4 linked regions of the Notamacropus eugenii genome follow. The protein of the gene in region 4 purifies or fractionates together with the protein of the main gene of each other region. This does not show direct contact. Links are inferred from orthologs where the notes say so. Each region holds a gene or a part of one and is shown on either strand. Other genes may lie near its edges. The genes, in order: WAPL, NIPBL, PDS5B and SMC1A.

The links.
Region 1: the proteins of SMC1A (region 4) and WAPL purify together in Homo sapiens (affinity purification with mass spectrometry; 7 studies listed by BioGRID and IntAct, with this or other methods). This does not show direct contact. The link is inferred for Notamacropus eugenii from reciprocal best matches to the Homo sapiens genes SMC1A and WAPL.
Region 2: the proteins of SMC1A (region 4) and NIPBL purify together in Homo sapiens (affinity purification with mass spectrometry; 3 studies listed by BioGRID and IntAct, with this or other methods). This does not show direct contact. The link is inferred for Notamacropus eugenii from reciprocal best matches to the Homo sapiens genes SMC1A and NIPBL.
Region 3: the proteins of SMC1A (region 4) and PDS5B purify together in Homo sapiens (affinity purification with western blotting; 8 studies listed by BioGRID and IntAct, with this or other methods). This does not show direct contact. The link is inferred for Notamacropus eugenii from reciprocal best matches to the Homo sapiens genes SMC1A and PDS5B.

Annotation. Positions count from the first base shown.
Region 1 is NC_092872.1:253,010,666-253,018,663, reverse strand, and holds the start of WAPL (wings apart-like protein homolog), read left to right. Parts: upstream 1-4,997; 5' UTR 4,998-5,247; intron 5,248-5,704; 5' UTR 5,705-5,767; coding exon 5,768-5,775; intron 5,776-5,805; exon of another isoform or gene 5,806-5,926; intron 5,927-7,602; coding exon 7,603-7,998. UniProt on the Homo sapiens protein: Regulator of sister chromatid cohesion in mitosis which negatively regulates cohesin association with chromatin. Involved in both sister chromatid cohesion during interphase and sister-chromatid resolution during early stages of mitosis.
Region 2 is NC_092875.1:423,986,782-423,994,747, reverse strand, and holds the start of NIPBL (nipped-B-like protein), read left to right. Parts: upstream 1-4,963; 5' UTR 4,964-5,096; intron 5,097-5,729; exon of another isoform or gene 5,730-5,840; intron 5,841-7,966. UniProt on the Homo sapiens protein: Plays an important role in the loading of the cohesin complex on to DNA. Forms a heterodimeric complex (also known as cohesin loading complex) with MAU2/SCC4 which mediates the loading of the cohesin complex onto chromatin.
Region 3 is NC_092876.1:201,641,855-201,649,599, forward strand, and holds the start of PDS5B (sister chromatid cohesion protein PDS5 homolog B), read left to right. Parts: upstream 1-4,732; 5' UTR 4,733-4,859; intron 4,860-5,631; exon of another isoform or gene 5,632-5,650; intron 5,651-7,745. UniProt on the Homo sapiens protein: Regulator of sister chromatid cohesion in mitosis which may stabilize cohesin complex association with chromatin. May couple sister chromatid cohesion during mitosis to DNA replication.
Region 4 is NC_092874.1:178,917,638-178,925,479, reverse strand, and holds the start of SMC1A (structural maintenance of chromosomes protein 1A), read left to right. Parts: upstream 1-4,838; 5' UTR 4,839-5,584; coding exon 5,585-7,842. Other genes in the region: inositol 1,4,5-trisphosphate-gated calcium channel ITPR2, read right to left, coding at 396-525, 3,196-3,389. UniProt on the Homo sapiens protein: Involved in chromosome cohesion during cell cycle and in DNA repair. Central component of cohesin complex. The cohesin complex is required for the cohesion of sister chromatids after DNA replication.

The sequences.
Region 1 (7,998 bases), on a different chromosome or scaffold from region 4:
CTGCAAGAACAAAGGAAGAGAGGTAAATATATGTACAGGGAACAGGTCAGCTGGGCTGGAGAGGTAGTGCCCAGAGGGAAATGAGATGAAACCGAAGTTGAAAAGTCATGTGTGACCAGAATGCAGGCCTGGAATGACAAGGCTGGGCATTTTCCTTCAGTAAAAAGAATTCCAGATCACTTGATTTTGTCAGAATTGAAGGGAAATTGATAGCTTTTTTAGGTGAGCAGAGGGAGATTTATAGGTTTTTAAAATGAAAAGATAAATCGTTTGTGATTGTGGGATTAATAAAAAAAAATAGCTTTTTAACATGTGAACTCTATTCCATGTTGTATGGCACCAGACTTTCACTTTTGTTCCCCAAAATAAGATCATGATGCCTTTGACCTCCTGCCTGTAAACTGAAGGCCTTGGGTTGGGTGACTTCTTAGGTGCCTTACAGCTCCAAGGGCATTGGATGGTGGAGCTTGGAGCACTGAATTGGGGAGTTCACAGGGACTTCAAAGGACCTGGCTTAGTTATTTCCTCCCTGTGCCTCAATTTCCTCATCTCTAAAGATGTTAAGAACCCTATGGGGTCTAAATCCCATGGTAATCCTATGCCAGACAAGGGACTTTAAACTTCCTTTGGAAGACAAGAGGGTCTGAGAAAAAGGTCTTACTAAGTGAGGGAATCTAACCAGATCTATTCATAAGGTAAGTCGGGAGCAGCAGGGAGGAGGAACTGAAGGAGGGCAAGTCTGCAGGAAGGCCTGGTAGCTATAGCAATTTTCCAGCAAGGCCTGCACAAAGGTGGTGGCAGAAGAAACAGGAAGATAGGAGGCCAGAGACGTTTCAGGGCTGACAGCCACAGGACTTGGGAAGTGATTGGCTAGAAAAGGAAACAGCACTCAAGGTGAAAGTTCCACTGGGCTTCCTCTGACTCAGTAGCCCAGCCTACTGAATATCCAGGCCTGGAAAGGCCCCAACTTTCAGGGTCTTTCTCTAACACTCCTAGAATCTCAGATGTAAGTATCCTTCTTTGTTAGATCGACTCCCCAACCACATTTTGTCTTTCCTCCACCTACACTTGAGACTAATGAGATAGTAATATACTCCTAAAAGAATGTCTTTGGGAGTTTATTCAAATTTTCATGAAAGGTAAGGTCACTGAGGTATGTTCTAGGGATCCCCACCTTCTGAAATGGGAAAGTAAGAAAAAATCCTCTCTATACCAAGAAAAAGAAATTCACCAAATAACATTTATTATGTACCGACATGCCAGGCACTGCACTAAAAAACCCCACAACACATATGAAGCCACCCAAAATGACCTCCTTCCCCCCCCCCCCCCCCCAGGAAATACTAAACTAAGAATAAGAACAACAAAAGCTTATCAGCTGCTTTCTTACTGATGTCTTTCTTACAGTTTCCAAAAGATTTCTTTATAATCTCATTTCTGGATTTTCTTAACTGAAAATACCAAATTGGGGTCTCCTGGTTTTCTGCTATGCATTTTTTATTGTAAAGCAAAGAGCTTTACAAATCTCTTTTTAAAAAAGGTCCCTTCTGATCCTGAGGCTTTTTTTTTTTAAAAGCCCTTAGCCCACAGGGCACATAGTAAGTATTTAAATGTTTGTTCCTTTGTACTTCTCTCAAGTAACTTTTAAGTTATTTTCCTTTAAAAAGTTCTTACAAATGAAAAATATATTTCTCCTGAACTTCAATTTGTAACCATCTGCTAGATTAAGGGAGGACGACATAAGCAGTACACCTCACAGCCATTATTATTTTCCTCAGGGATATTATCTGAAAGCTATAATCAAAGTGTAATTGTAAATTCACTTGGGACTTTCCTTCTCAAAAGTCTAGTTGGGGGCAGGAGGCACTAACGCTCCTCTGAAGACAGGAAAGGTGGTCTCCTGTAGTATCACATTTTCTAATACAATACAAATACTTTGGCTTGTTTCTAGCCTTATCATTAAGAAAAATTCAATTTCAACAAGTATTTATTGAGTCCTGATGGTGGTGTTTAAAGAGACTGTCCCTATTCTCCAAGTTGCTTAGAATAAATTCTCCTTGGAGAGACAGGCCCCAGACAGGAAAAATCATGGCCCTATTTGGTCCTGCATTTCCAGCTTCTGAAGTTTGTTCACTTGAAATGTAGATGGAAGTGTTTAGGGAAACAAAGAAAATGGAAATTAACCAAAGGAACCCAAAGGCTGCCACAGGGAGGACAGCCAGGTTGTAGTGGGTGTCTTTTGCTTGACCACAGGTCAGTGAAGAGGGCACAAAGGCTCTGGGCAAGTTTATTTTTGTTAAGAAAATCCCAGGACCTAAATGCAGTGTTCATGTTCTAAGTTACCTGGATGAGTGCAGAAATGTGACTGTTACATTTGGGTCGGAATGACAGTAGCTTACAGGAGAGCTCCATTCTCTATACAGAAGTGCTCATTTTAGTTGACATCATTAGTTCAGTATTTTAAAACCGGGAGAAAACAGACACCTGAAAGGGGTCTCGGGAGTGTTTTTGAACTCCAGGGCCTTCCCAACAGCCACTGGGCCTACCCCATAAAGAATTTACATAGTTTTGAATTTAGAGGGTTAACAGCAAGCTTTATATACCTTTGGTAAAAAATCTTGCAATTATCTCCTTGCTCCTTTTGACTTTTTGATCTTAGCTTTTGCTTCTGATGATAATTACCCCTTAATTAGCACCACCACTGTATCATCTAAGTAATTATAGTAAGTGGAGCCTGTACCCCAACAAGTAGTCTTCAAAGAAAATTATAAAATAAGGTCCCACATTGACTTTTTAGAGCAAAACTGGCTCAGATAAAACACTCCTGCAGAGCTATACCCTGAGGAATAGTTTGTATCTAACTTCTATTCAGGACATGCAATAGAGTTGGCTTTTAAAAAGGAAAAATAAAAAAGATACTGTACCCAGAAGTTTAAGGGTACAGGTCAAAAGTTCAGTTACAAGTTATCTATACTTACAATAATGCATCTGTGGTACTTGAATCATTCAACTGCTAAGTAGCATCAATGCCTTGAATAGGAACAGTTTTCTATGGACTCATAATATACTGGCTACATATTGTTTAAACTATTTCTTATGATTTTAGAAGAAAGTCACTTTAAGTACTTCATAAACATAGTCTATTTATAGCTTTAGGCATATGAATGGAAGGACTTAAGGAAAAATGGTAACTAATACCTTATTAATTTCCCAAGTAATTACCTAAAGCTCCATTAAAGCTCCCTCTTGCCCAAGAATAAGGTGACATATAGATGCAGAAGTCATGAATGTGGTTTTATTTTGGTATCTTTATTAAACTTTATGTGGGAAGAGAAATGATATAGTGATAATTAAAAAAAAAACCCATTACATTGTTAAAGTTGTTAGACGGAAAACGCAATCTCATATCATCCATCTCAATTCCCTTATGTCTCAAATGAGCAAACTGAGGCCCAGATCACTAAAACATGTAACTCAAGGTCACCCAGATAGCTACAGGCGAAGGCGGAATTAGAAACCAGGTCTCCTTATGCCCAGATGAGTGCAATTCCACAGTAAAGTACAAGTGGGTCAAATAAATTTAGTTTTCCATTGATGAGGTTTTTGAAGGTTTATACACAAAAAAAGTATCGAGCAAATAATCAATGTGTTTTCACAACGAGTTCCTAAGCATAGAGAATTGGGGGGGGGGAGAGGGGGCAGGAGGGAGAGGGAGAGGGGGGAAGAGAGAGAGAGAGAGGGAGAGGGAGAGGGAGAGGGAGAGACAGAGAGACAGAGACAGAGACAGAGAGAGAGAGAGAGAGAGAGAGAGAGAGAGAGAGAGAGAGAGAGAGAGAAAGAATAGAAAAGAAAACAGATCCAGTTACCTGATCCCCTACGGATCGGTGACATCAGTAGCTGGAAGCTGTCAATTTCCAGAATGACTCACTGGGAGCACTGAGAATTTTCTGATCCTTTAAAATGAAAAGGAAAAGGAAAAAGGTTCTTGGTTGCTTTCTTCCATATAGACTATTCGTAAATGTTTTCGTGCTATCTTCACCAGGCTGCATTTTGTGGCTCATTACGAGGGTCAAGTCAAAAGAGAGGCAGGGAGAGAGGGGCACAAACAGCAGAGACGCCGGGGGGGCGCGGTGGGTAGCCCCCAAGCTCGCTCCAGCACCATGGGCTCCACGAGCCTCTTTGGTAGCTCGGAAGAACCCGGACTGAATGTGCCAGCAGGTGGGCACATTTTGTTCCCCTACCTGACCGAGACCCGGGCCTGAAAGCCGGTGCATCCCAGTCGGAGTTCGCGGGCGCCGCCGGGTCCCCCGGCTGCGGCAGGTCCCTGCAGGGCGAGCCACCGACACCCAGGGCGTCCGCCACGGTCCCAGCCTCTGCACTCCCTCCCCCGGCCGGGAGCTTCCGAGGGCGCTGGGCCCACCCCCGTCCCCGCCTGGCCTCAACCGAGTCCCGGCCCTTCCTCCTACTCACTGCTTCCGAACACGGTGGCTCACCCCCGCCCCCGCCCAGGGAGTGTGGCCGGGAACTACACTTCCCGTCGGCCCTCGCGGCCGAGACCATGGCGGCCCCCGCGCGTGCGGCGCCACGCGCCTGCGCGACGGTTTGTCCGACCGGCGCTGCGATTGGCTGCGGCGGCCGGGGCCGCGCGGGGCCTGTGGGAAGCGCCGTGACGGAGCTGGCGGCTGGGGGAGGAAGGGGGGCGGCCAGCCGGGGAGCGCAAATGGCGTTGAGATGGTTCAGGGCCCTGCTCAAACTCCAGCCCTGACCACTTACCGGGCTAGGAGGCGGCGCAGGCGGGGGCGACGGCGGCGGCGACGGCGGCCCAGCGCGAGGAGCTAGTCATCGCCGGCGACGCGGACGGGGCGGCCTAGGCCCGGGCCGGCGGCGGCGGCAGCGGGGGAAGTTGCGGGGCAGCCGCCGCCGGCGCTCCCCCCCTTCCCCCTCTCCCGCTCCTCCCTTCCCTGCGGGCTCCTTTTGGCCCGGAGCAGACGCCGGCGGCGGCCGGGGCAGCGGCGGCGGCACTCTTCTTCTTCCCCTCCCCCCCCCCGGCCCCCTCTTCCTCGCGCGTCAACCGTCTCCCATCTCGAGCGCGCCAACCCTCCGGCCCCCCCTTCTAACCCCCCCTCGTCCCGCGCGCGCGGGGCCCCAGCGGCCGCCCGGCTTGCGCCGCCCGGGGGCCGCCGGGAAGGTGAGGCGGCGGCGGCGGCCGGAGCTCGGAGTCTCCACCCCGCTCGCTCGGCGCCCAGGGTAAGTGAGGTCCCGTGGCGGCCGCTAGGCCCCGCCCGAGACGGGGACCCGGGAGGGGGCTCGGGGCGCCCGGTGCGACGCGACCCGGAGGAAGTTGGGGGAACGGGCGGGCGAAGAGAAGTGTCTGGATTCTCGCCCGCCCTCCCCCCCACTCCCGGCCCTTTCCGAGAGGCCGCCAAGTCTGGGGCGCCTCCCTCCCTCCCCCCCCCCCCCCCCCAGCGCCTCTCGGTCAAGTGCACGGCGGCCGCCGGCAGCGCACCCGCTTCTGCCCCCGAGAACGGAGGGAGGGGGCACTGTTCTTCGGGCGCCGCCTCGGGGAGGGGACGATGGGAGAGAAGTGTGGAGGCCGGGACCCCCGGAGAAACCTGGGGGGGGCGGACGGGGCGGAGTGGGTATGGGAGGAAGAGCCCCCAGGCGCCGGGGTCACTGAGTGCCCCTTTCTCTCTGGCCCGGACAGGTTGTTGGGAGGAGCTGCCAATGTGTCTGAAGGCCCGAGTGAAAGGTTGAGACCCGCGCGCCTATGCACATGTACGTGAGATGGTGACTGGGAGTTGTCCGCCCACCCTCGGGGTGTCGGGGCGGCCCCGCAGCCTTCGGCGAGCTCTTCCAGCTTAGACCTGAAAAGGCTCCACTCGAGATGAGATTGTCCACGGGGTTCCTGCTTTTGGCAAACTCTCAGGTGTTAACTTTTTAGGTCATGGAGTAGGAAGGGACCTGAGAGGTTTAGTCCAATCCCCTCTTTTGAAAGAGGTGAAACTGAGACCCGCCGAGGTCAGCTGACTTGCTTAAAGCCACAGGAGTAGAAGTAGAAGATTCAAAGCCAAATCCAAGGAATTTCCAGTCCAACAGTCTTCCCCAGTGTGCCATGTTGAGAAATATCCCAAGTATCTACGTATCCTGCACTGAAGAAGTGCACAGTTTTATTTCCATTTTTCTATAGAAATGGCCAAGTTCTCTTGTTTATAGACAAATTGCTTAAATAAAACATTTTGGTTTTATAACGCCTAAGAAAGAAAAACACAAAATTTACCAATAAACTCTATAGCGCAAGGCGATACAGATATCTCCTGTTTCTACTCCCAAAGGTTATAGTAAACGTTAGGAATTTATCATTGGGTTTTATATCTCCTACGGAAAAAATTCCTGCTGAATACTCGAAAAGATCAGTTTGTCAGTGATTCCTAGTACATCCTAGGAAAAAAAAATTTGTGGAGTTCAGTGAAACATGGGGCAAATTCTGATACAAAAAACCATTGTTGTGATATTTCAAAATTAGGGAAAGCTTTTTGCGTGTAGCTTATAGCCCATTTCTTTCAAGCTTATTAATTACAGTACAGTGAAACTATGCCCCTCTAAGAGTCGATTATAATTATTGTTATATTAAAATTTCAGTGATTTCAGTAATGTGAATTTAAAAAAGTTTTCATCACAGTTAAGTGGAAGGGGATTATTAGTGAAAGAATACATGCATGTCATGTACAATATGAAAGAAAGATGAAGTCTTCTCTCCCCCCCTTTTGCTTTGTATATTTTCACCTTGGGTACACAGTGTTCCTCTCTGGTCCTTTCCTCTCTTCTCCCTCCTTCCCCCCAATTGAATGTAAGCTCCTTATGAGTAGAAACCTCTCCTAGTATTCCTTAGACTAGTTGACACATATATTGTTGCGTAGTATTAATCTTTTAGTTAATGTAATCTTATCTTTTTCTGGAGACTTTGCATAAAGATAGAGGTTTCTCCAAACATGTCTTTTCTTCTCTGTTGAGTACATATTTGTCTACTATAAATAAACCTGAATGAATCTGAATCCATGAAGTTTACAGATAAAAAAGTAAAAAGAAAATAAAGTTGTACATTTATAATATGGACCATGGAACTAATGTTAAGGAACTTGACTTGCGCTAGTTTATCAAATACAAAAGCAGTATCTTCAGTCAAACTAAGTTAACATGAGATCCAACATTTTTGAAATTAGCATAGAAGTGTACGTTAGATTCAGTGTGGTACCATATTTTCTTTTTTTGGTCTAAAAAGCAAAAGCTTAGGAATCTATAAATATAGTATGTATGACCTAACATTAACATGTCTGAAAGGTAAATACTACTGAATTACATTTTATTTATGCTTTTCTGTTTTGAAAAGATGAGTGTCTAAAGTTTAAGCTTTTTAATTATTACACTTAAGTAATGTATAAATGAGTACTGTACATTGACTGTTGGTTCAGTTTGGAGCTTTAATGAATTCTGTTATCGTAGGTGGTAAGGTAGTCAGTCATACTTGTTTGGCAACTTAATTTTACATGTGGTGTTTAAATTTTTGGTTACAATATTGGTTATGTTTTCTTGATTTTTCCACAGAGAATATGAAACAGGTGTCAAAATGACATCCAGATTTGGGAAAACATATAGCAGGAAAGGGGGAAATGGCAGCTCTAAATTTGATGAAGTATTTTCCAACAAACGGACCACCCTTAGTACAAAGTGGGGAGAGACTACCTTTATGGCCAAATTAGGCCAAAAGAGGCCTAATTTAAATCCAGATATCCCAGAAATTCCTAAGAAGCCTAAAGTGGAAGATGAAAATTCAGAAGATCCTTTTGGATTTGATAGTGATGAAGAATCTTTACCAGTTTCTTCAAAGAATGTGGCCCAGGCTAAGAGTTCCTCCCAGTTGGAGCCTGGTGAAGCTGCTCATCTGGGTGACTTCACCTCTGTACTTGAAGCTAACAGCTGTATTAGTCAACCAATCACGGA
Region 2 (7,966 bases), on a different chromosome or scaffold from region 4:
TGAGGAAACTGTCTCAGGGAGGGAGGTTAAGTAATTTGCCTAATCTCACAAAGTGAATTAGTGGGTGAGTTAGGACTCAAAACTAGGTCTTCAGACCTTCATACTCCACTGTATCTTCTATGTTTCTGATAAGGGGCCAGCTGAGATGGCTGTATATTATTTAACTTAAATCATCATCATTCTGCATTGTTGTATGATATTTGTAATTTGCAGAGCACATTCATGTATTTTCATGTTATTTGATACATTATCTTACTGATATAAAGCAAGGAGGGAATACTGTTAAAAAGAGTACCTCTGCTTCCCTTTTCTTCTGCCTTCTCCAGATAACTTTTGGTCAGATATCAACAAAACACCGACACTGAAATTCTTGGGTCATGAAGTAGTTTCCTTGTAGAACCCTAGTTTGGATATTTACATATAAACTATTAAAACACTAGGTGGTGTACTAGAGGAAGAATTTCTGGTCTGCATTTTAAAGATTTCTATGATTCTGCAATAGTATTCTAGAAAACATACTCAAGTATCTGACACAAAGTGGATGTAAATAGAATAACCAAATTCAAAACCACACAATAAGAGTAAATATCTCTACTTAAAAATGAACACAATTGGGAAAGAAAAAAACACATTACTGTGTATTCAGGTGAAATAGTGATAGTACCTAATGCTTGCCACTTACATTTAATTTTTGTAAATTATAGTAATTTCTAATCAGTATCATAAACATTAGGATTTAATCTCAAATCCATGGTCTCTCTTTTAAGAATTATACTTTGGGGTGGGGAGGGTGGAAAAGCAGGGTAAGCTTCCTAATGACTGGATCTATGTGAAATTTCTGACTGGGACTATGTCCTATGTAAAATTTCTAACTGCCCCAGCTTCTATCATATAGTAGGAACCTAGTGTTTGAGTACATAAGTAACAGAACGGTCTAAAACTAGAAGGTAACTTCCTGCTTTTCAAGGCAGTTTACATCACAGGAGCCTTCAAATGAAGGCTGACTGACCATTTGCCAGGAACGTTTTAGATTAAGTCTGACATAATTTGGACTAGATGGCCTCTGAGGACCCTTCTAACTCTGAATCTCTGATTCATGATACAATTTAACATTTTGGCAATACAATGATTGAAAACATTTAATACCAGTACCCACTAACTATAAAGTTAGGGATACATTATTCCTATGCTATATACGCCATGAAGTGAAAATATTAATAAGTATTTTTCAATTTTATACCATACTATAATGTAATAAGTAATGTGTATTGCCCAGACCATGATATGAAGTTTAATGGACAGCCCATGGTGCTTTTGTAGTGACCGAGATAGATAGGGCAGATCCTGCAAATGGGCACAGAACTGTGAACAGAAGAGTGGGCACGATGGCCTTTGAAACTGAAAAATTATTTTGATGACCTCAAGATTTTCCCCAAAACAAAAGGCCAGTTTTTTAAAAAATATCCTCATTCTTCCAACATTTGTATGGCTACAAATCAGAGCATACTAAAGAAGTGAAATGGAGGATAAATAAAGGGCAATGGAGAGGTACGTGTTAACTGTGAGCAAGTTGCATAACAAACTAGAGTTATAGACAAGCAATGTTAAAGATATTATCATTGATCATTGAAAAGATGGGCTGTTCATGTGGCAAGAGGGAGAAATGACTGATAGACAAGTTGTGGTTCAATCTTATCCTCACCAAAGGCCCTCCAGGGTGTTAAGTGGACCCCCTGTGGTGAACTTAGAGTAGGACATGCAAGAGTCACATAGGATGGACAGGTTTGGACTGGGTTGCAATCTATAGTAGTTGGAAGGCACATATATCAATGAGAGTAAAGATCCATTTGAGTACTCTAATGTGAAGACCTAAGTTGGCATTTTATATATCATAAGCAAAGGACTGTATAACTTAAATTACCCAAATATGTTGAATTACTAGTTTACTTGCTAAAATTCAGGAGAGGATATAGAAGCAGCATAATGATCCTCCAAAGCAGACTTAAATGATGGCATTCTGAAATTAAGTGAAAATATATGATGTTTGCATGTGACTTAAAACTTGTATAAGACTAGTAGGTAAGACCTTAATTGGAAGAATATCTGTAAACCATTTTATCTTATTTGTGAGGTTATAATCTTTTTTATGTCATGAACCTTATGCAGAAAATATAATTTATGGATATTAATTATTTGGCATATATACACTATAAATTAAACAGCTTGAGGTTTAGGTGCAGGTATTTTTAAGCAGCTTTGTACAAGCAACTAGAAAACAGGTATTTTAATTTCATTTCTATCTCTAATACCTTTCAAGTCATTGTTATTAATTTAAATGACGCACCTAAGTTTATTAGAGGTGATCAAATAGCCCTAAAGAGGTGATTTAAATAGCCCTGAAAAAAGTGAACTAAAAAGTTGTATAAATCTTCAGATTAATTCAGGCTTCAGCTTTCACTATTTTTTCCCCAGAATTAAATAGTAAAAGTAAAGTGGATTAGCATTTTAATTGTCCTAGAGAATAAGAGAATAGTAAGCTTTTCTTAGATGTGGACCAAGATTAGGCATACACAGCCCCTTTAAGATTATCAGTAGGTCTTTTTAATTCCCTCCCACCCCCCAGTACAGTGAACAATTGTGACTTCTCTAGAATAGACATCTTCTTTAGGTTACTCTGGTGACTAGTCAAAATGAGGCAAGGAGTCTGTCATTAAGGAAGAGAAAAGCTTCCCCTAAGACAAGCGATAGAACTGCCCGAGCTCACGAACCGTCCTCCATAGGGCCCTCAAGCACAAGTCGTCACCACAAACTCGTCTTAACTTGTTTCTGGTGAGTGTCTTCGGTTCGTCTGGTATCTTGATGCAGGACTTAAAGAGCTTTTCTTCCTAGATTTTCCGTCCTTTTCAGAACTTCTCCATAAAGCTCTCTCCGGTGAATATTGAATGAATATTGAATAGGAGCATTGTCTAAGAGAGACCAACTCAGTCTCGGGGTTCTCGGACTGCATTTCTAATTCACCTGGTAACTGATTTGTTAAGAACGCCATTCACTTTTAACAAAATATTACAGATATTACTATTTAAATCAAATAATGGAACCTGTTTATAATTTTACCAAATTTATTAAAATGGAATAAAACACGTCAAGGTCTAAACTCAGCTAAAATTGAGCCCAACTTTAAATTAATCCTTCAACAGCTGTCCTGCTTCCTCCGAACAAATAAAGTGAGCAGCCTGTAACAAGTATCTCTGAGGGAAGCGGGAGGAGAGGGGAGGAAGGGCCGCGGAGGGGAGGGAAGGGAGGGGAAGGGAAGGGAAGGGAAGGGAAGGGAAGGGAAGGGAAGGGAAGGGAAGGGAAGGGAAGGGGGCTGCTAAAGAGCTGGGAACAAGGACAGCCTGAGCTCACCAGCCAGGTCAGCCCTCGGGTCTAGGACGGGTCGGGGGAGCTCCAGACCCGCGGCGCCCCCCACCCATCACCCCGCAGACCGTGGCGAGGCCGGCCCCGAGCAGCCCCTCACCCCCGGGGCGCCACAGCTCCATCTAGCCCTGAGCGGGGGGTACACACGGGGCCGCCAAATACCTGCAAGCACATGGAGCTAACTGGTCCAGCTAGGTCCAGCAGGAGAAAAGGAGAGCCTGGCATCGGAACGTGCCCTGACTTCCCCGGCACAGCGCTGCCCACAAGCCCATCTCCCCAGGAGGGAAACCAAGCCAAGCCCCGGCCTCTCGACGGCGGACCACGGGAGAGGCGACAAAGCCAAGGAGGGCGTTCGAATCCACGCGGGAGCGTCCTCGCTCCGGGCTAGGCCGTGTGCGGGTGTGCAGGTGTGCACACGGATGCGTGCAGCTCGGTCAGCGGGAAAGAGCCGCACATCCACCAGGTCGCGAGGTCACCCCGAGAGTCCAATGGAATCGCGGGGGTCCGAAACGTGGCCCCCCCGAGCGGCGACCCCTAACCCCGGGGAGGACCCGTCCTCTTCTCTTCAGCCTTCAGTGTCCGGGGCCTTGAAGCCCCCTCCTGGGAAAAGTGTGTGTGTGTGTGTGAGTGTGAGTGTGAGTGTGTGTGTGTGTGTGCGTGAGAGAGCGGGGAGGGGTGGGGGATGGGGAGGGAAGCCACCCCAAAACCTTCCGAGGGTCTCCTCCGCTGAAAGCCCGACGACGCCCGAAGCTGAGGTCTTCCCATTTTCCCCTAGGAAAAGAAGGACCAGAAGGAGGGCGGCAGTAACCGGCCCGGTCCTGGGCCACAGCTACGATAGAGGGCAGAATCCACACCCACCCAGGGCAGCGGCAGCAGGAGCAGCGGCGGCGGCGGCGACGGCGGGAGAAGGAGGAGAAGGAAGAGGAGGGAGCGAGGCAGAGGCTGCTGAGAGAGGAGGAGGAGCGGTCGGCGCGGCCGCCGCCGCCGAGGCCGCCGGCCCAGGCTCCAGCGGCGCAGGCCCCGGCTGTCGGCCCCGGCTGTCGGCCCCGGCTGTCGGCGGCGGCGGCGCGAGCGGCGACGAGGGAGACTGGCGGCGGCCGGGGGCACTGGAGTAGTAGTAGTAGCGGCGGCGGCGGCGGCAGCGGGCTGGCGGGCGGGCGGCGGCGGTGGCGGAAGTGGAGTGGGGGAGAGGGGGAGGTTGTTGGTGTTTGGCGCCGGTGGAGGGAGTCATTCCTGCAGCTGCACTTCCGGTCGGCATTTTGTTCTGAGAGGGAGAGACCGAGCGAGAGACACACACACACACACAGGGCTCCTTCCCCCCCCCGCCCTCCCCCCCCTCCCTCCTTCGGTACCGACTCGCCCGACACCGCCGAGCCGCAGGCAGGGACGCCCCCGCCGAGAGGAGGATTGGTTCCCGAGCCGGCTGCGATGCCCCCTCGGTAGCTGGGGCCCCGGTCGGGTGTTTGTAAGTGTTTCTATGTGGGAGAAGGAGGAGGAGGAGGAAGAAGAAGCAGCGATTTGTCTTCTCGGCTGGTCTCCCCCTGGCTCTACATGTTCACTGCACTGAGGAGGAGACGGAAGAGGAGCCTCAGCCGCCCCCCCTCCCGGCCCGGATTATAGGCTCCCCACAGCCGCCTCGGCCTCGGCCTCCGCACCGATTCAGACGCCGATTCGCCCAGGTAAATTCCTTCCTTCCCTTTCTTTCGGCGGCCGCGGCGGCGGCGGGGCCAGGACCCGGGCTCCTCTCCTCCCCCTCCCGCTCCCGTCCCCGGCAGCCCCGGGTCTCCTCGGCGGAGCCAGCGCGGAGTTGTCCGCCCCGGGAGCAGGCGCCTCGGCCGGCGGCGGTTGGAGGTCTTTCCCCGCCGACTTTTGCGGAGGAGATTCGGTTCCTGCCGGGCGGCCGGGGAGGCGTAGGCCCGGCGGAGAGCGCAGGCCGCGGGCCAGCGGAATCTACTTGAGCTCGGGGATTAGGAGAGGCTCCGGTCAGAGCGGAGCGATCGCTTCTCAGTGACAGGCCTCAGCCGAGGGAGAAGCGGTAGGAAGACGAGGAGGCGGAAACAATACCCGGAGCGGCCAGGGCGCCCCGATCCGCTCTATATTTACAACTTTCCCGGGGCGAGCGGTGGGAAAGGTCTCCGCGAGACAAACAACCCCCTCCTTCCCCCAGTGACCCTGGGCCGGGAGGAAGTAGTTTCAGTTAGAGCGAGGCAGATGTGAAATGCCCAGGAACGAGCCCGGGACGCGGCGTTGGCCTTTTTTCAAACTTGTTTGGGCGTGCAAAAGTTAACCGAGACTCGTTTCCCCTTTTAAAGGCATTCGGTCCTCGCTCACGGCTGGGAGACGGAAACCCGAGTGACATAAACAGTAGTGCGCTCCGTGAGGAGCCGAACGCGGCTCTCGGAGGCGGGGGAAGTTGTTGACAGGTACACCCCGGCCCTGGGGCTCGGAGGGAGCCTCGGAGGGGCCCCGCTGTGCCTGGGAGCGGGGCGGTGGGAGAGGGGGGACGGAGGAGAAGCGCTCGGAAGGACAGGCGTCCCCCTGGGTGTCCCGTCCCTCTGGTGTCAGGGGAGATCTTTTGGAGGTCTCGGGACTGTCATTGGCTGTGTGTGCCCATGATGTTTGCCTGGGTAATGAGAGGTGTCACCGTAGTGGGTCGGAGGGGTCCGAAGTGGCTCGAGGAGAGGAGCCGTTCTGAACCAACTGGAGGTTCTGTGCAGGGGATGGCTAGGTGGTGGTGTATGATGGAACTGGAAAGGCAAGTTTGTGAAGTAAATTAAAGAAACTTGACTCGTGGAAGTGGCATGGAGAGCAGGGCTTACCTGGGCAAGGCTGTTCGGGTACTTTTGTGTCGTGTCTGTTTGTTTTTGAATGTTCAAGTCTTTAAGGAGCAACGTTGCTCAGCACTTCTCTTAAGTTTGTTCACTGATGTCACACTGGCCCAAAAAGATTTTTTTCTTGCAGCTTTATTAAATTTCCATCGTCACTGTCCAATAAGTAACTTTCCTGGGGATTATTCTGGAGTTTAGGGTCTGGCTTGCGTCGAACTCTACCATAGTGTCTGCCAACGTTCGGATCAATGTTAAAAAGGGTCAAGTTAATATAGCTGTCACGTCCCAGGCATGTTTTTAATGCCATAAATCCGTGTAGTAGTCAGTAGCGTGTCCGTGATTTGTATTGGTCAGGGAGCAGTTTGAATTTTAAAAAGCCTGAAGCTCCTGCTGAGCCCCAATCCCGGCCTCCCTCCCTCCCACTAATCTCCCATTCCTGTCTTTGTGCTGCCTGCTCCTGTTCGACACTGTTTGCAACAGGGCCTCAGGCCTGCTGGGGGTGGGGGTGGGGGCGGGGGAGGGGGCGGGGGAGGGGGCGGGGGAGGAGCAGGGGAGGGAGGGAGGGAGGGAGCAGCGCTGCCCATTCTGAGAAAGCAGCTCTTGAACACAGACACACGCGCACACACGCACACACACGCACCCCCCCAAAGCGCTTACCGCAGAAATCCTCGGGCTGGCTTTATGACTTGAACTGAACAGCTGTTTCGCTTGGGGGTCTGAGACGTGCCCAGTTCACAGCAGAGGACTGGAGGAAAAGTGGTTGTGCTGGGTTGGTTTTCATCATCAGAGAGCGACGCACCAGCCCTGCTGTTTGTTTCACGGCGCTTCAGAGAAGTGTGCTCGGGGGTTAGAAAGAGTTGAAAAAGCAGTCTTCTTTCATGTTGGTTTTCTGTGTGTGATTCCTGAGTTATAAGCAGAATCACGGATTAGTTGTTAGCTTGTCCCTGAAATACTGAGGAAAAAACTTTGTTTTCATATCAAGTGAATGATTAAATTTCTCTTTCTCAGATTTTTTCCCCCCAAATTTGAAAGCAATTCCCTCAGAGCTCCTCAGTATACAGTTCATTCCTCTTCCCCCAGCCCCCATCTGTTAGAAAACTAGCCTCCAACAAATCATTTAACTGCAGAAGTATTTAGATGTAAACAAAGACAAGGCTATGCTCTCCAGATTTTTTAAGATCCTCTGAGAGAAAGGTAGCTCAGTGATATATTGGGAAAGGGGCAAACTTGAGAAAAGTTTCACCTGACAGTAAACACCTCAAATTTATTTAATAGCAGGTTGAGGGGTTTTTTGTTGTTATTTTGTTGTGGCTATTGCGTAGTCATATTAATCAATTTATAATAAAACCAGATTCTAGAATCAAGAAATACTTCAAATTAGGGTTAAAACTTAAGCAGTTAATAATTTTTAATATCTGAGTTACTTAGTATGGTATGACATTTTTGGGTTTTGTGCCTTGGCAAAATTTGTAACAGTAAAAAAGTTAAGAGAATTTTTGGTGATATGGTAAATATGTTAAGGGGCATCTTAAAGTTGGAAATTAAATATGAATTTCATTAAAGAATGTGCAATTTTATTTGCTCTTTTTAGAACTAGAAAGTAAAAGCTTTAAAATCCCCATCATAGCTCAATTCCTTTGCCATCTCCTGTTGGAAGCTTTTCTTGATACCCTTAGTTATAAATGCAATTATCAGATATAGCCATACTTGCTTTACCTAAA
Region 3 (7,745 bases), on a different chromosome or scaffold from region 4:
AATAGTGGAGCTCTGGAGCTACTGGGTAGGGGGTGCATTTCTGGGGAGAGAGGAGTCTTTGGCTTACCCTGAATAACCTACAAAGATGGCTTCTTCTGAGTAGGGGTAGCCAGTCTTCCTTAGACATAAGTAAGCCAGATAACATAGTTATAATCCAGTATATGTGCAATCTTTTCTTACATGGGTTCCCTTGTTCCTCCCAGATCCTGGCCAAGATAGAATATTTTTATTCCTCTAATTTTTCTACTGTTTCTATAATGTTGCATTTATTCACAGTCTACTTTAGCTATTGCTTACATCTTTAGTTTTTTTGTGACTAATACTATTTTCATAAATATGATATAAAAAACCCCACAACAATAACAACATTCCTGGTACAAGGTTCTGTTTATTTTGTCAGCCAGGAAATAACCTATTTCCAAGTGATACCAGTTAAAATTCCAGACTTTCCAGAAATAATTTTGTTGTTAACCATCTCTAGAGATGGTTTCTTCCAAGTACTGAGGAATTTTGAGGGTCACCCAGTGTTACAGGGTTACTTGGGTGATACTTCCTAGCAGTGATACTGTAGGGGATGTTGCTATGGGGGTCTGCAGGAGGTAGGGAGGGGAGGTCAGTTTCAAGATAATCTTAGTTTTGGGGAAACAAGAGGCCAGAAGGCAGGTTTTGTACTGAGTAGATGAAATCCAAGAAGAGGTTGTCAAACATAGATCCCAGGAAGGGCCAGAAGTAACATGTTATTCTATCTATCTTAGCAATCCATTTGGCAACAAAAATTCAGCAGGCTCTGAGGGAGCAAGGAGAATCAAAAGCTTGTGACCAAAGTGAGAATCAGAAAGCTGGATGATAGCCAGATCTAAACTTGAGCAAAGAGTTCCTCTGATTTCTCAGTCACAGAGGGGATCTGGCCTAGGGTGTTTTAGGGGGAAATGCTAGGTCTACAAGCCTAATCTTCTGTATAAATGGAAGCCATATCCTTTCCCCCCTATGCTTCTACTTCAAGAAGTGTTATGTATAAAGTTCAGACAACCTGAAGATCCAGATGGGTGAGAGGTAGACATAGGTCGTTCCATATTGTAGCTGTCATGTGGCCTTTCATGGCTGGAGATAATTCTACTAACCATGTTCTCTCTGTTTTTTTTACCCTGCTCACACAAATTCTCTGATTTGACAGTGTAGACACTGTTTGTAGAAACTTATGCTATTTGTGATGTTCAGGCCATACATCTCCACTGAGTGAGTTATTTAGAGGGTTTATTTGTCCTTTTTATATGTGTTAAATGATACATTTAACAGGGTAGATCATGCTGCTTGCCCATTACTTTAGACCTAAACGCTGAACAGACCACTGAAAAGTTTGAATGTTTCAATTTTAAACAACATATCATAACTTTGCTGCTTATTATATAATCTTGGCAAATCAGTTAATTTCTCTGGGTCAATTTCTTTAATGGTTAATTGGGAGTAATAATCATTACATTATTGACCTCATGGGGTTGTTGGGAGAAGCAAATGAGATAATGTATGTAAAACTTCTTGTAAATCTTAAAGCAGAACATATATTTCAGCTATTATTTTTGTGCTGTCACTTCAGCTCTGGAATACTATTTTTCATTTCTATTCATCCATTTGATACTGTCTGTCAATGAGTTCATTGGTATTGGTGATCATTACTTGGTGATTCTGGTCATATAGTTCAATGAGATGTTGCCCCTATAACAATTCTAGGTCTCAGCACTTCATACAACATTAGACTCTACCATTTTAATGCTAGGTAGCGAGTTTAATAATTTTTTAATTTTTTTAATTATTAATTTATTTGTTCTCAGTTTTCTACAATCACTTCCATAAGTCTTAGATTTCTCCCCTGCCCACCCTGCTCCCTTCCCAAGATAGCATGCAATCTTATATGGGTTCTACACATACATTCTTATTAAACACATTTTCATATTAGTCATGTTGCATAGAAGAATTAAAATGAATGGGAGAAATCATGAGAAAAACCTAAACAAAACAAAACATAACACAAGAGAAAATATTCTACTTCATTCTGTGTTCCAATTCCATAGTTGTTTCTCTGGATGTGGATGGTGTTTTGCCTCGAGTCCTTTGGGAAAGTTTTAGGTCCTTGAATTGCTGTGAAGGGCTAAGTCTACCAGAAAAATTCCTTGCACTCAGTTTAGTGTTGCCAATGTTCCAAGATATTCAGTGTTTCTGAATTCAATTCTCTACTTTTTTAGTTGATCATTTGTTTTTTAATGGTCCTTATGGTTCTGAAAAATAAAATTTTCTCTGAGTAATAATTCTATTTTTTTTTTTTGCACAAGATTCTACTAGGGCTAAGCTCTTTTTACTTCCCTCCACCTTGACTTGCCAGAGATTTGCATTTTACTGTATATTGTGAAAACTATGAAAGGTCTTAAGATCACTTTAGGGCTTGAGGAAACATGATGTAAGTTTGAAGGACTGTGGAGTAGTCAGATCTTTTCTTCACTTGAAATAACTGTATAGCAAAGTATGTTTAATTCACATTTTGGAACTTCAGGAAGATATATTGTTCACTGAAGTCAGAGGAGATGGTAATTTATAGTTTTAGTTTCAGCACACTGTCATGACAATGTTTTGTGAAAGCGGAATGTTATGTTGTTTTATCCTACTATGATAAATTAGTTTGCATAGCAACATAACCTCATCAAGTGTTGGTATAGCCTACAAAATGTGGTAATCTGAACTTATATATTTATAATTTATATATATTATAAATATATTTATATATTTATATTATACACATTGCAATTTGACTTTTCTTATCCAATTCAACAAGCAATTATTAAATGCCTATTATGTGTGTGGAATTGTGCTGGGTGCTGGTGATACCTTTATTCTGGGAATAAAACTCTTTTGAAAGTGCACTCATACAGGAAAAAAAAATCTCATCAGCTCTGGGTTGTTGGCAGTGGCGGCTGAGGTGACAGATGAATGTATTGGTACTCAAGTAACTTTGGTAAGTCCAGAGCCTGATCACATTCTTGGGGTTCCTGCTTTCTAAGGGGGACAGCACCGCCTAGATAGGATAAGACTAAGGGAGAAATCATTCCAAGGGAAGTGAGAAAAGTCCTGGAAAGCTGGGAGGACCTCTCCTCTCTATCTGGAATCAAGAATAATGCTTCCCATACAATGATAACAGTCGTAATAGTAATAGCATTCATATGTCATTTTAAGGGATGCAAAGCACTTTACACGTATTATATCTTTTGATCCTCGCAACAACCCTGCAAGTTGAGGTACTATTTTTATCTTTGTTTTATAGTTGAGGAAACGGAGGCTTTGAGAGGTTAAGAATCTGAAGTAATAGACATAGATTTTTTTTCTGATTCCAAGTCCAGCACTGACTAGATTGCACCATCTAGTGGCCTCTCCGAGCCTGATTTCTGTGGAGAGAATTCGTGTCCCGTACTATTTCTATTGAAACAAAGTTTCTAAAAAGTGTCATCATAACGCATTCTCTTCATATGTATTATGTATAATATATATACACACGTGATATATACGCATACATACACACATACATATATGTCTGCCTATCTGTCTGTCTATCTAATCTATCTTTCTACCTACCTACCTTTCTATCATCTATCTATCTATTATCTATCTGTCTATTATCTATCTATCTATCTATCTATTATCTATCTGTCTATTATCTATCTATCTGTCTATTATCTATCTATCTGTCTATTATCTATCTATCTATCTATCTATCTATCTATCTATCTATCTATCTATCTATCTATCTATCTACCTATCTACCTTTCTATCTGTCTGTCTGTCTATCTATCTGTCTATCATGTGACATTGGCCATTACCAGAATGGAAAGGGCAGTGGGATTTACTTTTGTAAGAAGGCATAGAGAAAGTGAGGCCATAAGCAATATAAAAAAAAACAGAGAAAAGTGCGGAAGAGGAAACAGCAGTTTTGTGATAATCTCGATAAAGGCTCTTATGAAGAACCATATAACAAAGTTCGGAGTCCAATCCAATGAACATTAACGCAGCGCCCATTCTGCGTCCCTGTCCTCAAAGGGCTCTCAATCCAAAGGGGAAGGAAGATAACACAAAAGGTGGAGAGGGTATAAAGAGGACGATCACCTTGCTTATTTTTTTCTAGACTGAAATGCGCGTTGAGGACCGTGTAAAACAAACCACCACCTACAACAAAAAAAAGAAGCGAAAATACACCGTGTAGAATTGCTAATTTTGGAAGGTACTTCAGATTGGATCAAAGTTCCCGTCTAAGTGCAAAGCGAGCAGACCACGGAATACTGCCAAATCTCCCTTTCCAGAAGAAAACTCATTCTAGTTTCTTATCTTCGGCTCCCAAAACGCAGAGGTCGGCTCGCTATCTGCTTCTTTTCCTAAGAGACGCCAAAGACACCGAAGCTGCGGGTTGATTGGCAGCTGCCGTGTGGGCGGGCGCGTGCTTGGAGCGCGCACCGCGGAGCGCGCGGGCGCGTGCTTGGAGCGCGCACCCCGGAGCGCGCGGGCGCGGTTGGCCGGGGAGGCGGGTCGGGCGGTTGAGCGACACCCGGTCTGGCTGGTCTGCTGGTCGGTCGGCAGGGGGCGCTGCGCCCCCGCGCCGCGCTCCGCCTGCCCCTGGGTGCTCTCCGCCGCGGTTCGATTGGAGCTGCCGCCGGAGAACGCTTGGCGCCATTTTGAAGCGGAGAGGAGGAGGAACGGCCGGGCTAGCTGCGGAAGGGGAGGGGAGGGGGGAGGAGGAGGCGATTGGATGCGGCGGCGGCGGCGGCGGCGGCGGATCCCGGAGAGCGGCGGAGTGAGAGGAGCAGCGAGCCCGGCAGCCGGAGGTAGGAAACAATTCAATTAACGGGAGAAAGGTCTCTTCTTGCCCGCCCGGGCGCTCCATTTTCCCGCGGCCGGCGGTGTGTGTGCCTTTGGCGGGGGCTGAAGCGCCGCCCGCCCGCCCTGCAGTAGCCGCGGCCGTCCTGCCTCCGGCTCGGCTCGCCTCGGACTCGAGGGCTGAGCAGCCCCTTGGCCGGGAGGTGTCTCGTTCTCCGGGCGGGGGAGGGAGCGGGGGCCAGGACCTCCTGCACCCCCCTCGGACCCCCTGCACCGACTCCGGCGCACACACACGCGCACACGCGTGCGCGCGCCGCTGGCTTGATCCACGGCTTCTAAGAAATTAAACTTGCCGCCTTCCTCCGGGCGGGGCGGCCGCGGGGCCGGGTGACCTTGGCGGCGGGGGCCGAGGGGCAGCCCGGGGTTCCAGCCGCCCCCTTCCCGCGCCTCCCCTCCCCCCGCTCCCCGGTGGCCGCCGCCGGCCTGGGCTCGGGCTCGGGCTGTTTCGCGGACCGCAGGCGGGCGGCGCGGTTCTCCTGTTGAATCCTCTGGCGGGTTTTTTTTTTCTCCTTTCCGGGGGTGGGGTGGGAGGGGGAGGGAAGAGCCTGCGCTGCGAAAGCTGGGGGGCCGCAGCGTCCTCGCTTGGCCCCTCTCCAGGCGCCCCCGCAGGCTCCCCCTGAGCCCCACGAGCCCGGGGTTTCCCCTTTGCCCCCACGTCGTCTCAGCCTTTGCTCTGGGCGAGGAGAAAAGGATACAATGTGTCCGTTTGCTGTCTACTGTAACTTGTCAGTCACCGGAGGTAAATCTCACCGGCCGCCGGGAGGCTGTGGGGAGGGGCAGCCTGGGATCGAATGGAGGAGGACTGGGGCTCACTCTAAATTACTGCACCCTGGTGACAGTTGGGTTTGGTCTGAGCCTCAGGGAGCCTTGCAGTGTGAACCGGAATGAGCGCTGGCAGAACTGCGGAATAATCAGAGATTGTTGCACCTCCGCGGCTGGTTTTGGTCTCCCTTGTGCACACTTCAAAAAGTTTCTGGTTGCGGGGCATGCCTCGTATTTTAATTCTTCGGGACATGCATTAAACTTCTTGTTTTAAATATAGTTATTTAAGTGTATGAATTTGAGCCATGAGGTGTAAACCTGCACCGCACTGTACTGCATTACTTAACGAGATGCCGTGAGTTCAGTGCGGGTTTGAATCAGGAGAAAGGGATATCTGCATAGCACTTGAGCGTAATCCAAACCCTTAAGCAGGAGTTAACATTAGAAAATATATTTTGAAGGGAAGCCCTCTGAAAGTGCCTTTATTTTTGTCGGTTCGTTTTATTTCATTTCTACTCTTTTTCATGAAATATGTTAGTGGGCTGTGTTTTCTGCTTTGCCGTAGTGTTTATGAAATGCATGCCGAGGTCTCTGTGATGGATCTTTTCTACATTTAAGAATATTTTTGCTGTATAACATCCTATATTCTCTTCCCAAGTAAAGGTAACCCTTAAAAATCTGTTGATAGTTTATTAGAAGAGACAGAGTATAAAAATTTTTTGAATTTTGCTATTTAAATTTTGAGTGGCATTCTAAATAACGTGCTTGTTTAACAAACCTAGATGTAGGTTTGAATGGATTTTCTATCTGAACCAAGTAATCTACCAAATAAGAAAGTTAACATAGCATACAACACAAATCAGAATTAAGGTTTACATGAACACATTTTGGTCTTGGCACCCTACAGTACACATTTCACATGAGATTGACATGACTAAGGACAATAAGCCTTCCCTCAGGTATATGAGTTGTCCAAGGGCAAGTTCAACCTCTAACTTATGTTACTTTTAGTCATTTAGTCAGCGTGTTAACATGCTCAGTCTTATTTTCGTTATCAGCACAGAACTTACTTAAAATGTGTTGCTTGTGAAACAAGTAGTTAAAACTCTAAATTGTAATGGTTTGATTTCTGGATTTCAAAATTAAATTTTTTCTGAGGAATTCTATGAGTAATGAAAACATCTTAGAAACATAAGTAGTTCATTTAAAAAAATGAACTAATAAGATGCTCATTTGAACACTTAAGTATATATATGTGTGTGTGTGTGTGTGATTTCAGAAATGTTTATGTCTGCAGAAATACCAAATGTACATTTAAACTTTTTTTTTAACTTTTATACTTTTTGTTGTACTATTTCATTTCTTTGTGGATCTGAATTATGTTCTTTTTTAAAAAATAAAATTTTCTCGTCTTCAGCCTTTATTTTGTTCTTTCTCCATTGTGGTTATCTCCTTAGCTCATCCTTTTAATTCTAGTATTCAGATTCTTCTTCCTCCCCTTTTTTTTACACCCCTTTCTTCTTTTTCTCATTTTTCTTATAAGTAGAGGAAATGTTGGTGTTGAGGTTAAGGATACTTGCTGTCATGAGAAGTCATGTGATCAAGCTTGCTTGTTTAAAAATATGATTTGCCACTATGAGTTGACTCCTGGAAAAAAAAAGTAGGTTTGTGTTTTGAGATTATTCTGTAGAATTGATTTAAAATAATCCTTTTAGACTATGGAATTATCAAGCAATTTATTATGTCTGAGGAGGAAGTGATATCTTTCATTACTCAAGTTACTCTCTTGAGAACTGTGATGTGATGGAATTATGTCTAAAACTGAGAAAACAGAATTGTTCACTGCTTTCATTTGATGCAAAGGGTCTTTAGAATTTTTTGAGTTGTGATTTTTTGGGAAGGACTATCATCTGATTTGTGGAAATAGCATTGAGAAGACAATTATTTGCTTTTTTAAAAAATATGTTCCTCTTGTTAGAAAATAAGCAAATTTCAGCGATTGGTACTAGCTGTATGAATATTTATAAACATGGTATAGCTTTGTAGGATTATAAATTTTAGTGCTGCAAGAG
Region 4 (7,842 bases):
CACAGGGACTGTATTAATTGTTTAATTGTTACCAGTTGTCTATGACTACCATATGTTCAACAAGCAGAAAGCAATTTTCTGACACTTCTTTGTATTTATGTAGCTTTCTAGATTTGTAAAAGAGTTTGCAGTTTTATTTGTGGGCCCCTCTTTTTTGTTCTTTCTCACAATATCCCCAGGAGACAGATGGATATCCTACACCTACCTTTTCAATGTGAAAACTGAGACATGAAGATACTAAATGATTTGCTCTGGTTCTCAAAGCAAATAATCTTTTTTAAAGCAGATTCAGTTTTACACACTTAGTGTTCTTTGTTGTTTTTAATAAGTCAGGGACTTTATAAGTACCATCCTAAAAATTAAAGATTTTGAAGAATGTTTACATAAAACATTACCAGATGAAAGTGGTGTGTCAGGGGAAGTAGTAGTAGAGTTTTCAGGATTTTCACTGTTGTCTCCAAATTCTTTCTTGTAGATGGACAGCATATAAGAGATTCTATAGTCTAGTCTAACGCTGAGAATAAACTATAAGACACAGATTGAAAATAAAATATAGTTTTTCATAAACTTTTTTATATCACTCATCATTCTATTTAATGATGCACATTTATTTAGTTCACTTCTGAAGCCTAACAACAATATAAAGTATCAGAATGCTAAATAAACTAATTTGAGAGCTTACTTTTAAATATTAATAGTTCAATTCAGTAAATGTCCATCATTAATATTAAGACTTTGAATGCCTTTATTGCCACAAATACTATAAATAGCATGCTGACTGGAGTCAATAAAAATTGAATGCATTTTCTGGGAAATAAGAATATCTGGAGTGTATGACTTTCCAGTTATCTTCCACTGTAGTATCAAAGCACACCTGTTTGGTGAAACTTTCCAGATGAAGACACTGAGTTATTCTGCTTCAAGTGGTAATGATGTCATATTGTCACCTAATAACATAGATTTCTCCTTGAGGAACTATGATGATAATCAAATCCCTCATTCAGGCACAAAAAAGGCATGACTTTCAGCTATAACAGGTACAAAAGATCTGTATGTACTCCCAAGTTTTGATGCCAGATATATCTATGATTCACCCTGGGAGTCAGGACCTATGTTAATAGCCTAAATGGAGCAGTTTGCTGTCAGGTACATGTAATATAGCATTAAAAGTATCCGATAAGAACAAGATTTGATGAATGTAACTAGGATTTTTTTTCATTTTTTCTACTTTAGTATTATGCAAAAGATCTATTTTTAAACTGATCCATTGACTGTAGACATCAATCAACAAGTATTTATTAAGGATAATATGATTATCAGTTTAGAGCTGGAAAAGACATTTAAAGACATTTGAAGCAACTGAGGACCAGAAAAAAAAATAAAAGATCTGTCCAAGATTACACATTACGATAGAGGCAGGACTCACACTCAAGACGAAAAACACAAACAAAAGCAACTTAAAGAGAAAAAACAGTGCCATGGGTACAAGGCTTAAGGAGAAACACAGTGAGAGGCCTTCGAACACAAGCATGCCCCTTAAAAAGACAAACTAACCAAAGGCAGAGGGGCTGCAAGGTATTGCTGTCCATTGGTTCATATATAAATGATTGCTTTCAAAGTTTAAATGATATACAGCTGCTTCTGTTACTTAATATTTGCATGAGCAAATCACTCAACCTCTCTGTTTCCTCATACGTAAAATGAGGGAGTTGGACTAGATGCCAGTTCTATATCTATGATCTATAAATTAGAAATCAAAGAACTATCTGGAGACCAAGAAGAAATTGTATGTTATCTGTTTGTGCCCTATCTGATAGAACTGTTTCTCAACCTGTGTTAGGGATCAAACACTACTCACAAGATGTCCTGATCTGAGGAAATAGTATTTATCAGTTAACCATCAAGTAATGTGGCAGGCATTGTTCTAGTCACAAGTATAAATGCAAGTACAAAGAAAATAACAACCCTTTCTCTAAAAGACCTTACATTTCAATGAGGGATACAGGAAATATATATAAAAATACAAACAGAGTCAGGGTCTGGGGGCCACCCAAGCCCCAACTAACAGTTACCATCCCAAAAAAGCAACTTCTGAAAAGATGTAACCTGGCAACTGCTTCTTCAGGGGTTAAAGTCATTGCCTCCTCAAAAGGCAACATCTATTGAAGACTCAGTAAAGAAAGTCACTGTCCATGAGCTTAAAGTTAAAAACAAATGTGATTTTATCAGTGAAAATGACTATTAAAGAAGATGCTTCACTATCTGCTTTGCTGCTATCCCCTAACGGTCATGGAATCTTTTCATTTGACTTGCACCAGATAGATATGTGATGCATCCCCCTATTAGAATGTGAGTAGACACAGAAACCCTGAGAAGAGATACTGTCTCCACCCTTCTATTTGTATGCTTTAAACATAGTAAATTCTTAATAAATGCTTATTCATACAGTATAAATCTAAAACTGATAAATGCAAATATATACAAAGTAGTTAAATATAATAGAGTCAGAGAGGGAGGGTACTAGCAACTGGAGGAATCAGGATAGGTTTCACCCAAAAGAGGGTGTTTGAGCAGTGTCTTAAAGAAGAATGGGATTCTATGAAGCAGAAGTAATAAGGGAGTACAGACCAGCCAGTATAAAGGCATGAAGTCAGGAGACAGAGTTTCATGTGTAAGGGAAAAAAAATAAAAGTCCAGTTGGCTGTATTGCAAAATGCAGGAGGGAGAATAATGTCCAGTGAGGTCAGATGTGTTAGCTACCCTCCCAGTTTTACATTATCTACATCAATAAATAAAATCAAATGCTGTCAGACATAAATTATTATTATAGACTTAGAGTTGTCATGGGCTTTCCTTGCCATCAAATAACTCTTGAATTAAAAAATAATAATAATAATAAAGTGTGTCATATCTTAAATAAAAAGGAACTGACATAATATTGAATAAAAGTTAATGCCATTATGAGACATACCATATTCACAACAAATAAAATAAACTATATATGAGCATTTTTTATATGAACTTACATGTAACAGGTGGCAAGTTTAGGGCAAATGTGAGGAAGAAAGGGGAAATGGCAATGAGAATAGCTCTTAGTGTTTTACAATTAACAATGGTTTTCTTATTCTCTATGATCATCAGACCAACCTAAGTTGAGAGGGGTATTTGCTAGGTTGTTTTTATCAAATTCTTTACCTGTAAAATTTCAATTATTTTTAATTTTGTGTCCATAACAGTGATGTCCTCATTATCAGTTGTACTTGCTTGCTTGATTGGATGGGTGCTAGGCTGTACATCAGGGACAGACATTGGAAAGATAGATCCCCTACTGAGGACCATTTGGGTCATCATCTCTCCAACACCATGGATAGTTCGCATAACATTATTTCCTAGAAGAAGAAAAGCACATAAGCAAGCACATATAGTACACAAAGAGTTATAACATCCATCAGGTAAATATACATTTAAATGTATGACAAGAATATTAAATGTCATTAATAATCATATTTTTATGTGTGTATGTATATATATATATATATATATATATACAGTATGTGTGTGTGTGTATACAAATGTGCTGGCAAAAACTGATATTCCAATAACAACTCAAAAATCCAGGTAAATATTTTATTAGCAAATTCATTTTTTTCCAAGAAGCATTTTAAATAGAATACTAAAGTTGTCTGTTATAGATAGTTCTGATGACATTCAAATGAGGTCCTCATGAAATAAAATTTTACCCATAGTCCAAGATTAATGGGAAATTATGATTTCTGATCCTATCCTCAAGCAAAGGTTCTATTTTGCTTCTCTTTGCAAAAAACAAAAGTTATACTAATTATTGTCTATTTCAATGACTTTTGGTTTTAAGAAAAAATATACTATTTGAATTGAAAACTACTATTCCAAATTCACAAAACAGCAATTGTGTTCAGAGTAATTACTGGAACAAGTTAGTGACAAATATGATAATATTCAATTGAGGGCTCACTTCCCATTTATTTCTTTCTTCTGTGTATGGTTCCACACTGGTATATTTGTTGGAAAAAGACAAAAATCCCACCGAGTGCCAACAATTTATTCAGTTCCAACAATTCACATGTACTTCTCTATTCTAGAGCTCCTGAGGTAAGCAAGTTTGTTTCAAATAAATGATTATGTTTTCTTTGTAGTAATCTTAGAGTAAATAGGTCAAGGAGTCGGGCTCTGGGCAAACATAAAGGATCCCCCTGTTTTGGTGAATTATTCTTTGCCTAAGTAATTCAGGGGAATAAACCAAGAAGAAAATGGAAATACTGCAGCATGTAATGGAACACTCTTTTCAAAGCGATAAAAAGAGTGGAAACATTCAAAAGATGGAAAAGTGAAGAGAATGAAAATAATTTCCAGAAGCATTAAGTGAATCTTGATGGTTTCTTCCAGACTCTCACGATCATAGGTTTCAAAACTAAAAACTTGGCGGCCACTACGCCCGTTAACAGTTGGTAAAAATGAATCCATTCTGTTACACCTTTCGAGAAACAATGTATCTGCAGAAGGGCAGCATTCCAAAGAAACATTTCAAAGAATCCATAAGCAAGCCTGGGGGATCACTGTGACAGACCCGGGACAAAGGAGGGGTTTGGAGAGAGAGGCTGGAGGCAGAGTGAACACACCAATAATAAAGATCCGCCGACAGAATGAATGCCTGGTGGGCAGTGGAATCCTACAGCCCCCGACCCCAGCCCACCCCCAGCACACCCCCACCCCCACCCCGCGCTTTACAGGAGATGTTGGCCGGGGGGGGGGGGGGGGGGGGCGATGAAGCTCAGGCAGAGGCAGACAGACACAGACAGACACACACACACACACACAGACACACGTAAAAACAGAGACGGAGAGCAAACGGAGAAAAAAAGGTCTCTGGTTGGCAGAGGAAAGTGGCGGGAGAGGGGAGGAAGGAGAAAGCGCGCCAAAGAGAGAGAAAGCCGTCAGTCTCACGGCGGGAAGAAACTGGACGGGTAAGCGGAGAGCAAGGGGAGAAGCCAGGGCGTAGGTGGGGCTAAGAGCCACTGCAGGCTTCCCACCCCTTCCGCGGGCCCGCCAGTGTGCACATGCGCATTAGGTACACAAGGCGGGAGCAAGAGAGCTGGATGACGACAAAGGGGGAGGGGTCGTCCCTTCCGCTTCAATCGGTTCATCTGCGCAGGCGCAGAAAGCGGGCAAGTCCTGAGGACGCTGGGAGCGGGCGGGGTTGTCTTCCCCCGGCACTTCCTGGGATTACGAGCATATCAAGCGCACCAGGCCGACTAAGAGCAAGAAATACAGAGAGAACTGGCTTCACCCTGCTCGTCGGGGGCACGCAGGAGGCAGGCGAGTACTGGAATCGGGGGGTTTAACTGGAGTCCCGCCTTTCTTCCTGCAAGCGCGCGCACACGTATGCGCAGAAGCGCGCGCGATCCCGCGCACGGCGCGTCTCGCGAGACTTGACTAGAGCCCGGGATCCCGCTGTTTGTGTTTGTTCCCGGACCCCCCATTGCCCCGGGCCTGCCTCCCTGTCCCCGCCCCCGCGCTCTCCGGTGCTGCAGCCCCGCATTGCATCGCCATGGGGTTTCTAAAACTGATCGAAATCGAGAATTTCAAGTCATACAAGGGCAAGCAGATCATCGGGCCCTTTCGTAGGTTCACAGCCATTATCGGGCCTAATGGCTCAGGGAAGTCAAACCTTATGGACGCTATCAGTTTTGTGCTGGGCGAGAAGACCAGCAATTTGCGCGTTAAGACTTTGCGGGATCTGATCCACGGGGCTCCCGTGGGCAAGCCAGCCGCCAACCGTGCAGCGGTCAGCATGGTGTATTCTGAGGACAGCGGTGAGGACCGCACCTTTGCCCGGATAATTGTGGGGGGCTCTTCAGAGTACAAAATCAATAACAAAGTGGTCCAGCTGCTTGAATACAGCCAAGAGCTGGAGAAACTGGGCATCCTCATCAAAGCTCGGAACTTCCTCGTGTTCCAGGGTGCTGTGGAGTCTATTGCCATGAAGAACCCCAAGGAGCGGACAGCCTTGTTTGAAGAGATCAGCCGCTCTGGGGAACTGGCCCAGGAGTATGATAAGCGGAAGAAGGAGATGGTCAAGGCTGAGGAAGATACCCAGTTCAATTACCACCGGAAGAAAAATATTGCGGCTGAGCGCAAAGAAGCCAAGCAAGAGAAAGAGGAGGCTGACCGCTACCAGAGGCTGAAAGATGAGGTCGTTCGTGCGCAGGTGCAGCTACAGCTATTCAAACTGTATCACAATGAGATGGAGATTGAGAAACTAAATAAGGAACTGACTTCCAAGAACAAGGAGATTGACAAGGAGAAGAAGCGCATGGACAAGGTGGAAGAAGAACTAAAAGACAAAAAGAAAGAACTAGGCAAAATGATGCGTGAGCAGCAGCAGATTGAAAAGGAGATAAAGGAGAAAGACTCAGAGCTTAATCAGAAGCGGCCCCAGTACATCAAGGCCAAGGAGAATACTTCACACAAAATTAAAAAGCTGGAAGCTGCCAAAAAGTCTCTGCAGAATGCCCAGAAACAGTACAAGAAGAGAAAGGGTGATATGGATGAACTAGAAAAGGAAATGGTGTCAGTGGAGAAGGCAAGGCAAGAGTTTGAAGATCGCATGGAGGAAGAGAGTCAGAGCCAGGGTCGGGACTTGACTCTGGAGGAGAACCAAGTGAAAAAATACCACCGGCTGAAGGAGGAGGCAAGCAAGAGAGCTGCCACCCTGGCCCAGGAGCTGGAGAAGTTCAACCGGGACCAGAAGGCTGACCAGGACCGGCTGGACTTAGAGGAGCGAAAGAAAGTTGAGACAGAGGCCAAGATCAAGCAGAAACTTCGAGAAATTGAAGAGAATCAGAAGCGAATTGAGAAGCTGGAAGAATACATCACCACCAGCAAGCAGTCTCTGGAGGAACAGAAAAAACTAGAGGGGGAACTCACTGAGGAAGTTAAACTTGCCAAACAGCGCATTGATGAAATCAACAAAGAGCTGAATCAGGTGATGGAGCAGCTTGGTGATGCCCGCATAGACCGACAGGAAAGTAGCCGGCAGCAACGCAAGGCAGAGATAATGGAAAGCATCAAACGCCTCTATCCTGGTTCCGTGTATGGCCGTCTCATTGATCTGTGCCAGCCAACACAGAAGAAGTATCAGATTGCTGTGACTAAGGTGCTGGGCAAAAATATGGATGCCATCATTGTGGATTCTGAGAAAACTGGCCGGGACTGTATCCAGTACATAAAGGAACAGCGTGGAGAGCCTGAGACCTTCTTACCACTTGACTACCTAGAAGTGAAACCAACAGATGAGAAGCTTCGAGAACTGAAGGGGGCCAAGCTGGTGATTGATGTGATTCGCTATGAACCACCACACATCAAGAAGGCCCTCCAGTATGCCTGTGGCAATGCTCTCGTATGTGATAATGTTGAAGATGCCCGGCGCATTGCATTTGGTGGCCACCAGAGACACAAGACGGTGGCACTAGATGGAACACTTTTCCAGAAGTCCGGTGTCATCTCTGGAGGGGCAAGTGACCTCAAAGCCAAGGCCCGCCGCTGGGATGAGAAAGCAGTTGACAAACTGAAGGAAAAGAAAGAACGTCTGACAGAGGAGCTGAAGGAACAGATGAAGGCCAAGCGGAAGGAGGCTGAGCTGAGGCAGGTGCAGTCTCAGGCTCATGGCTTGCAGATGAGGCTCAAATACTCCCAGAGTGACCTGGAACAGACAAAGACCCGGCACCTTGCACTCAATCTACAGGAAAAGTCCAAGTTGGAGAGTGAGCTGGCTAACTTTGGCCCACGTATCAATGACATCAAGAG